2 linked regions of the Xenopus tropicalis genome follow. The main gene of each other region encodes a partner of the protein of the gene in region 2 in a complex. Links are inferred from orthologs where the notes say so. Each region holds a gene or a part of one and is shown on either strand. Other genes may lie near its edges.

Evidence for each region. The genes of interacting proteins can lie anywhere in the genome.
Region 1: tonsl (region 2) and mms22l share a complex: the UniProt entries of both Homo sapiens proteins name them as parts of the MMS22L-TONSL complex. The link is inferred for Xenopus tropicalis from reciprocal best matches to the Homo sapiens genes TONSL and MMS22L.

Annotation. Positions count from the first base shown.
Region 1 is NC_030681.2:83,157,383-83,161,037, reverse strand, and holds part of mms22l (protein MMS22-like), read right to left. Parts: intron 3,129-3,655; coding exon 2,902-3,128; intron 2,368-2,901; coding exon 1,858-2,367; intron 1-1,857. UniProt on the Homo sapiens protein: Component of the MMS22L-TONSL complex, a complex that promotes homologous recombination-mediated repair of double-strand breaks (DSBs) at stalled or collapsed replication forks.
Region 2 is NC_030682.2:152,172,923-152,176,577, forward strand, and holds part of tonsl (tonsoku-like protein), read right to left. Parts: coding exon 3,621-3,655; intron 3,543-3,620; coding exon 3,397-3,542; intron 3,251-3,396; coding exon 3,098-3,250; intron 2,817-3,097; coding exon 2,691-2,816; intron 2,399-2,690; coding exon 2,218-2,398; intron 1,903-2,217; coding exon 1,841-1,902; intron 1,756-1,840; coding exon 1,666-1,755; intron 1,529-1,665; coding exon 1,456-1,528; intron 914-1,455; coding exon 750-913; intron 492-749; coding exon 368-491; intron 1-367. UniProt on the Homo sapiens protein: Component of the MMS22L-TONSL complex, a complex that promotes homologous recombination-mediated repair of double-strand breaks (DSBs) at stalled or collapsed replication forks.

The DNA of each region.
Region 1 (3,655 bases), on a different chromosome or scaffold from region 2:
TAACATGTTGCATATTATGGATTAGAAGACACCTTTTCTTGAAGATGAAGTGTTTAAATATCTAACTAGTAGTCTAATAGCTTTGGATTCCACATTTAATCACCCTACTGTGTTATGGTTACTGTTCTGTCCTTTTTATAAATGCTCTTAATCATTATATCTCGAGGTCTACATGGGTCTAATTGGCACCCAGCCCACTGACCCGCAACAATTTTATCAGCAGGTTGACCTGCTACCCATGGGCTGCAAAAACAAAAAACAGAAGTGGAGTCATCATCAGTGCGGTCATCCAAAGGCGGCAGATTGCAGCAAAGGCTATTGTGCTGCCAACACCCCTACACGCATCCATCTACAATTTCTTTCTGGCTACACATGAACCTGCTGGACTCTATTTTGATATCTTTCTTTTCAGGACTAGAGTACAGTATTTTCTGGTATGTGACAGGCAGAACTTAACCAGAACACATAACTAACACTGGCACTGGTAACTTTGTCTGTATGTGCGTTTTTGGTTTGTGACCACAGTGACTAAGTGGTAATGTACTACCGTACTACTCACAGGTACATATATCATTTAGTCAATTAACAGTACACTTGATCACATTACCACAAAAAAAAAAATCTGGTTTTCTTTCTAAACTATGGCTAACATGGTACAACACTTGTACCATGGTGCCACAGTGATTCACATGAGCCAGAAGAAAGACTATAGTACTTAAAAGGAGAAGGAAAGGCTACACAAGAGTTAATCTCAGGCTGGAGGCTTACCATCTGTAGTCTGAAAGGTGCCCTTAAGTCTCCCCATATCTCCATGGATTACAAGAAGAGAAGCTAAAACCGATATAAAAGCTAGAAGCTGTGTGCAGAGTTAAGTTCCCATGATCCCTCGCTGATTGCCAGACTTCAGGACTTGCAACCGAAGCGGCACATGCGCAGTTGTCTCTTCTGTGGGCACGCACAAGCAGGCGCGCTCCCTGTCAATCAGATCTCCTGAGCCGGCCCCTAGAAGCGTGCACTAGCAAGCGGTCTCGTTGCTATGGCGACGCGCTGTAAGCAGAAGCCTCCGGCGGCGTTCATTCATTCAAGGAGCGATCGTGGAGTTTGCTCTCGCGCCTAGGCTGGGGGGAGGGAGGAAGCTTGCGCATGCGCAGTAAATACACCGAAGGAGAGGAAGTGGGCATACAAATTCAAAGATGGCCGCGCCAAACCTTAGATAACGCTGAAACTTTCAGGTTAGATTTTATAAGTTTCTCTTACTATAATTGAGCCCAAAGTGTATCGTTTTTCTTTATCTATACTAGGACTATGCAATGGTACCATTTATAAAATTTGCCTTGCCATCTCCTTTAATGTGACAGTTTTTCTATATGGTATTATAGAAGAACACATACAGGTATGGGATCCATTATCTGGAAACCTGTTATCCAGAAAGCTCTAAATAACAGAAAGGCCATCTCCCATAGACTCCATTTTAATCAAATCACTCAAAATCATAAAAACATATTTCCTTTTTCTCTGTAATAATAAAACAGTACCTTGTACTTGATCCCAGCTGAGATATAACTATCCTTATTGGAGGCAAAACAATCCTATTGGGTTTATTTAATGTTATATGATTTTTAGCAGATATCTATTGGACAGGTTAGAAAATTTGGTCAGGCGAGGGCTGCATTAGTGTGTTTGTACTCTTTTGTAGCATTAAGTAGTGTCACATTTTTTAACTACTATTTAACTACCATCAACCTGTCCATCTTGGGTAACTACGGCCTCAATAATTTGGGACTCAATCAAGTCTAAAAACACTTTCACACAACTTTTGTACATATACTTCTTGTAGAAAAATATAAAATTACTTACCGGAGTCTTGCTACAGCAGTTTGCAAGAAATTTAGGACAGAACATAACTCTGACTCTCTACAAGCTGGCAACATCATGCTAAAGCCATCATTCAAAAGTTTTTCTTCAGAAAGCTGAAGGTTGTGGCTGGTTTCAAATACCTCTTGTACACCATCAACATATGTGGAAAGCAGTGTCCAGAGTGTGTGTTTTTGTCCAAAATCGCCCTTTGTCACCAAGAACTCCTTGGCAGTTTCTCGGAAACTGTGAGAAAGCTTTTCTGCAAGAGCACTTATGTCCATGTTTTTTTCCACGTATATCAAAAGAAATGCAAAATTACCCCTCCACAGAAGAGCCCGCTGGGAAGTACTGAGATGGCCGGGGACTAAAAACTGTAAAAGGTCTATAACACGACTAGCAACATCCTCGGTGTCTGCCACAATTGCCAGTAATAGGAAAAGAATGAAAAAGTGCTGTAGTCCAACCTCTGTAAGCTCCTGCATTTTTTTCTGGTGGAATTTGGAATAAATTCTGTGGAAATATATTTAATATTAAAAAAAAAACACAACAACAAATATGCAATATTTGATAAAGAATTAGTTCCTAAATTTAAAATGGTTTTATTAATTTGTATTTATCTGGATGTCCGAATATGGAGTTTCTATAGCCACTAAGGTTTATTAATTTTAATAAATAGGGTTTACACATGTGGATACAAACCTTTGATTTGATTATTTGCCTCTCTTGCCTATCCCAGTATTTGTTTACAATCACATTATTTAATTCTATGCTTGTATTCTTTATCAGGATAAAAAGCTCTAAATCTATAAGACCAATAACTCATAAAAAGCCTGAAAAATAGCATATAAAGTGATTTGTCATGCCTCTGCTTATTAATAGTGCTTAATAATGCTGCTGGTGATACAGAGCACCTCTGTATTTTTTATATCATTAGACGATTCCCTGTATATATCTCACTATATCTGATTGAAATGATCAAACAGGTAATTTAGCTGAACATCAGAAGTTTGCTGTGATAAACATTTGTTTAAAAAATATGCAGACCTTCCTTTAATCTGCTTCCAAGGATGGGCACCACGGCTTTCTTTGTCTTTTTTCATCAGTCGAGCCAAAATCCTCAGGAAAATTAGGTAGCTGTTATCAGACTTATACAGGTCAAGAGAGGGCTTATCAGTGCAGCAGCTCCTCACCACCTCCAGCATAGAACAAGGGCTTTTACTGACACATGCCAATGTTTGTAAACCTAGCCAGCGGATGGTAAAAGAACTGTTCTAAAGAGATTGGAAAAAATAAATAAATAAATAAATATTATATATATATATATATATATATATATATATATATATATATATATATATATATATATATATATATATACATACACACACACACACACACACACACACACACACACACACACACAAAGGATGGCACACCGTTACATAACATACCTCGGGTGCTCGGTAAAGGGTTCCAATAGTATAAAAAAGACCAGCAACTCCGGGATTTCTTGTGAAAAATCAAAACATATATTCAAAGTAGCATAAACAGCCTGTTTAATGCTACTTTGAATATATGTTTTGATTTTTCACAAGAAATCCCGGAGTTGCTGGTCTTTTTTATACTATATATATATATAAAATCCCGGAGTTGCTGGTCTTTTTTATACTAATATATATAAAATCCCGGAGTTGCTGGTCTTTTTTATACTATATATAAAATCCCGGAGTTGCTGGTCTTTTTTATACTAATATATATATATATTAGTATAAAAAAGACCAGCAACTCCGGGATTTTA
Region 2 (3,655 bases):
CTGAGCTTAGGGGTCTTCGCAAATAATCGAGCAGAAAATAAGGCTGGTCTGTCATATAAACTGAACACGGATGATTATTAAATTGTGATGCTAATTGCACTGGTTTTAGAGCTGCAATATAATGTGAATCTGAATGAATTACTAATCAGCCTCATATGGTTACATTTAGATTCTATATATACAGTATATTGTGAGAAGAAGTATATTGAGATAGGAAGAAGATGGGGGCTACTGGGGCATCTTTGGGGGCACAGATCTTCCCTGCTAAAGGGCAGCGGTTGCCTTGGGCTGGTCCTAAAGCCTTTAGTTCTCCTTTAATCAACTCCAACACCGAGCGTGCACCCCCAGCTGCTCCCCAATATCTTACCCCGGCCGGCCAGAGCTTCCCGCAGAAGGCTTTCCGTTTCCTTGCAGTTCTGCCTGGTTTCCTGATCCAGATGTTTCCCATAGGTACCGATCCAATCCTGGAGGCTTCCCAGAGGGGCGACTCCCTAAAGGAAATGCCAGATTATTGGTCAAACCAGTTTCTACTGTGGCCAAATCCCAGACCTGCCCAGCACAACCCCACTGCTTTCCTTCAGCGCTGCACTCCCTATACCATAGCGTCATGTACCAGAATCCCCAACCCAGCGATATTTAGCAGCAGCGAGAGCATTACTTTAACCTTTACAGCACAATCACTGACAATATTGAGCAACTAAAAAGGAAGTGATGTAATAACACAGGAAGTGATCTAACAGTCAACACACCTTGGCATTCTTCAGGGTCACAGATGCACCTCGGCGAATCAGTAACTGGGCCACGTGGAAGTTGCCACTGGACAGGGCATCATGAAGGGGGGTGATCCCCTCACACAAAGGCCCCCCAGGATCATTAATGTTGGCCCCTTTTTCCAAGAGAAGTTCCACGATCTCTGGAGAGAGGAAGGGACAGGAGTCGTCACTATAACTGTTCCGTAAAGGGGTGGTTCACCTTTTAGTAAATTTTTACTATGAGATAGAGAGTGATATTCTGAGAAAATTTGCAATTGGTCTTCATTTTTTTATAATTGGTAGCTTTTGAATTATTTTACTTTTTGTCTTTGATTTATGTTCAGCAGTAATCTGGTTGCTAGGGTCCAATTTAGCTTAATGACCAGGGAGTGGTTTGAGAGAGTGACTGATACATGAATAGTAGAGGGGCTAAATAGATAAAATAAGTATTAATAAGTAGAAATAACACTGGAGCCTCCCAGAGCAATAGGTTTTGGCTGCCGGGGTCGGTGACGCCTATTTAAAAGCTGGAAAGAGGCAGAAGAAGGTGGTAAATAATTCAGAATTAAGATAAAAAAAAACAAAGACCAATTGAAAAGTTACTTAGAACTGGCCATTTTATAGCACATTCAAAGTTAATTTAAAGGTAAACTATCACTTCAATATATCCTGCCTTAATTCCTTCGATTTATCTTTATCATACCCAAGTGGCCATGGTTAGCAGCTTCGTGGAGGGGGGTCCAACCGCAGTAATCTCTGGGGGACAGAGGATGGCCCTGTAAGGGAGCGAAAACAATCAGGAAAAGCACAGAATGCCAATCACATAACAGGAGAAAACATTGTTTGTTCAATCGTCCTACAGACTAATGGCGGCCATACCGGGGGGCCAACCTGGCACAGAAAGGGGTCCTACCTTCTCTATTAAGGTCTTGACAAGCTTGGCGTTGCCTTCAATACAGGCGCGGTGCAGCACCGTCTCACCCTTCTCATTACGCCGGTTCCACTGCCAGACAAAGAAGCACAAAAGTAAGTGACCCTTAGAGCTTGCAATCCCCTTACAACCCATCATTCCTTGGGCACAGTCTTACCCGGTTTACTCTTCTCTTGCCAGGAACTAATTTTTCATACCCTTCCAGATCCTCGTCATCCTCTGCACAGAAGTGAAATTTCATGAGAAATAAATTAACTTTCCAGTTCACAATAAAACAAACCGCAGAGAAGGCTGAATGTTAGTAATAGTGCCCCTTGTGGGTAAATGGATCAGGGTAATGAATGCCGCTGCCTGTGTAACAAATGATAATAAAGGGGCAGTACAGCGTTTCATTGGGCTTGTGATGAATGAAAAAGGGGGTAGGAGGGAATAACCGGCACGGCAATAACTACATTGGGGGAAATAATGGCACAAGCAAAGGAACATATGAGCTGAGCTGGCAGACATGGGCACTAAAGAAAGGCGGAGTCTCACCGCTCTGCGACAGTTCCAAGTCACTCTCCTGCAGGGGCTCACTATTCTCCATCTCCTCCTCTTCCTCGCTGCTCTCCCCGCCAGGGCCTGAACACAGCTCCTGTAGTTTTGCCTCTGTGTCGCCCACTTCTGGGTCCCCCAACTTCTCCTGCACGGCCAGCAGTTGGCGGAGAACCTTCCTCTGGGAAACAGCAGCACATAGACCCACTGAGTTATAAAAGGCAAGGCAGCACCCAAAGGAGTACAGCAGGAGTAGCACTATGAGAGCTCAGGGTTACATAACTACAAACCAAAAGCCCCATCCCATCACATCATACCCCAGAGAAACCCCCTTTGCAGACTCATGACTGTAGCTCTATTGCCCAGAGATAGAGGCACAAAGATGATTCTCTAATTGTGCACGGACACCACAGGTGCAGATGAGCACAAAGGGGCACAATAAGTGTCATTTGCAGTGGGTGAGCACTACTTACCTGCAGCGCAGCCTCTCCTGCCCGCTGGGCGCACTGCAATGCATTGGAAAGGCAACTCTGTATGTCGGTGTGCCTTCGCCCATCCTCCTCATAAGATTGAGCAATGTTCATCCAAGTCTTGCATTCCTGGGGAGGGACAGAGGGACAGTTTGAACACAGGTTGGATGTCTGCTTCAAAATAAGCCAATGAGTAGCATGGGGCTGCAATATGTTGTCACCTAGACTGCCACAGAATGGGTCACAAAGTAAAGAGAGGGAGCTTCATTGCCTGTCTGTCTATTCATAGCAATGGTCCAGAAAGGACAATTTCACACAGGCTGCGACAACAGCACCCTCAGGTCTGACTCTGCTCAATACTATAGAAATGTTGTGTGAAAGGCAGGGCCACGCTTCCTCGAGTTCCGTACCTCAGATGGATTTCCCTTCCTCAGTTCCAGCTCGGCCCGGTAATGCTTCACAGCCTGTACGTGGTCCTTAAGGTCAGTAAAGGTGGTGGCTAAGGATACGTGTATAACAGCCAGTTCCCGCTCCGGCCTTCCCAGCGTCTCAGCGCAGTTCAGCTGGTACAAGGGGAGAAATATAAGCAGCAGAACAAGATGGCAGCAGGTTCTGAGAGGCACAGGGGAACGGCCTGTTTAGCACAGTAACCATGGCCATAGGGCAGTAACACTATACAGCAATGGAATTGTGGGTTTGTGGTACCTACCTGCATTCTGTAGTCCTCTATGGCTCTTGTGTAGCAGCCAACTTTACAATACAGGTCCCCGAGCTGCTCATACAGACACAGCGCCCCCTGCTGATCCTCTTCGCTCAGCTCAGACAGGGACTCCTCCAGGCGGCAACCTCTGATGGCTGCAGGGAAGGAGCAGGGAGGTCACTCGTGGCACTAAAGGCAAATAGGAAGCATCTGGGGGTGCCCTGAGCTTTTACCGTATTTAAGGTTCCTGCGCACGATATCTCTGTCC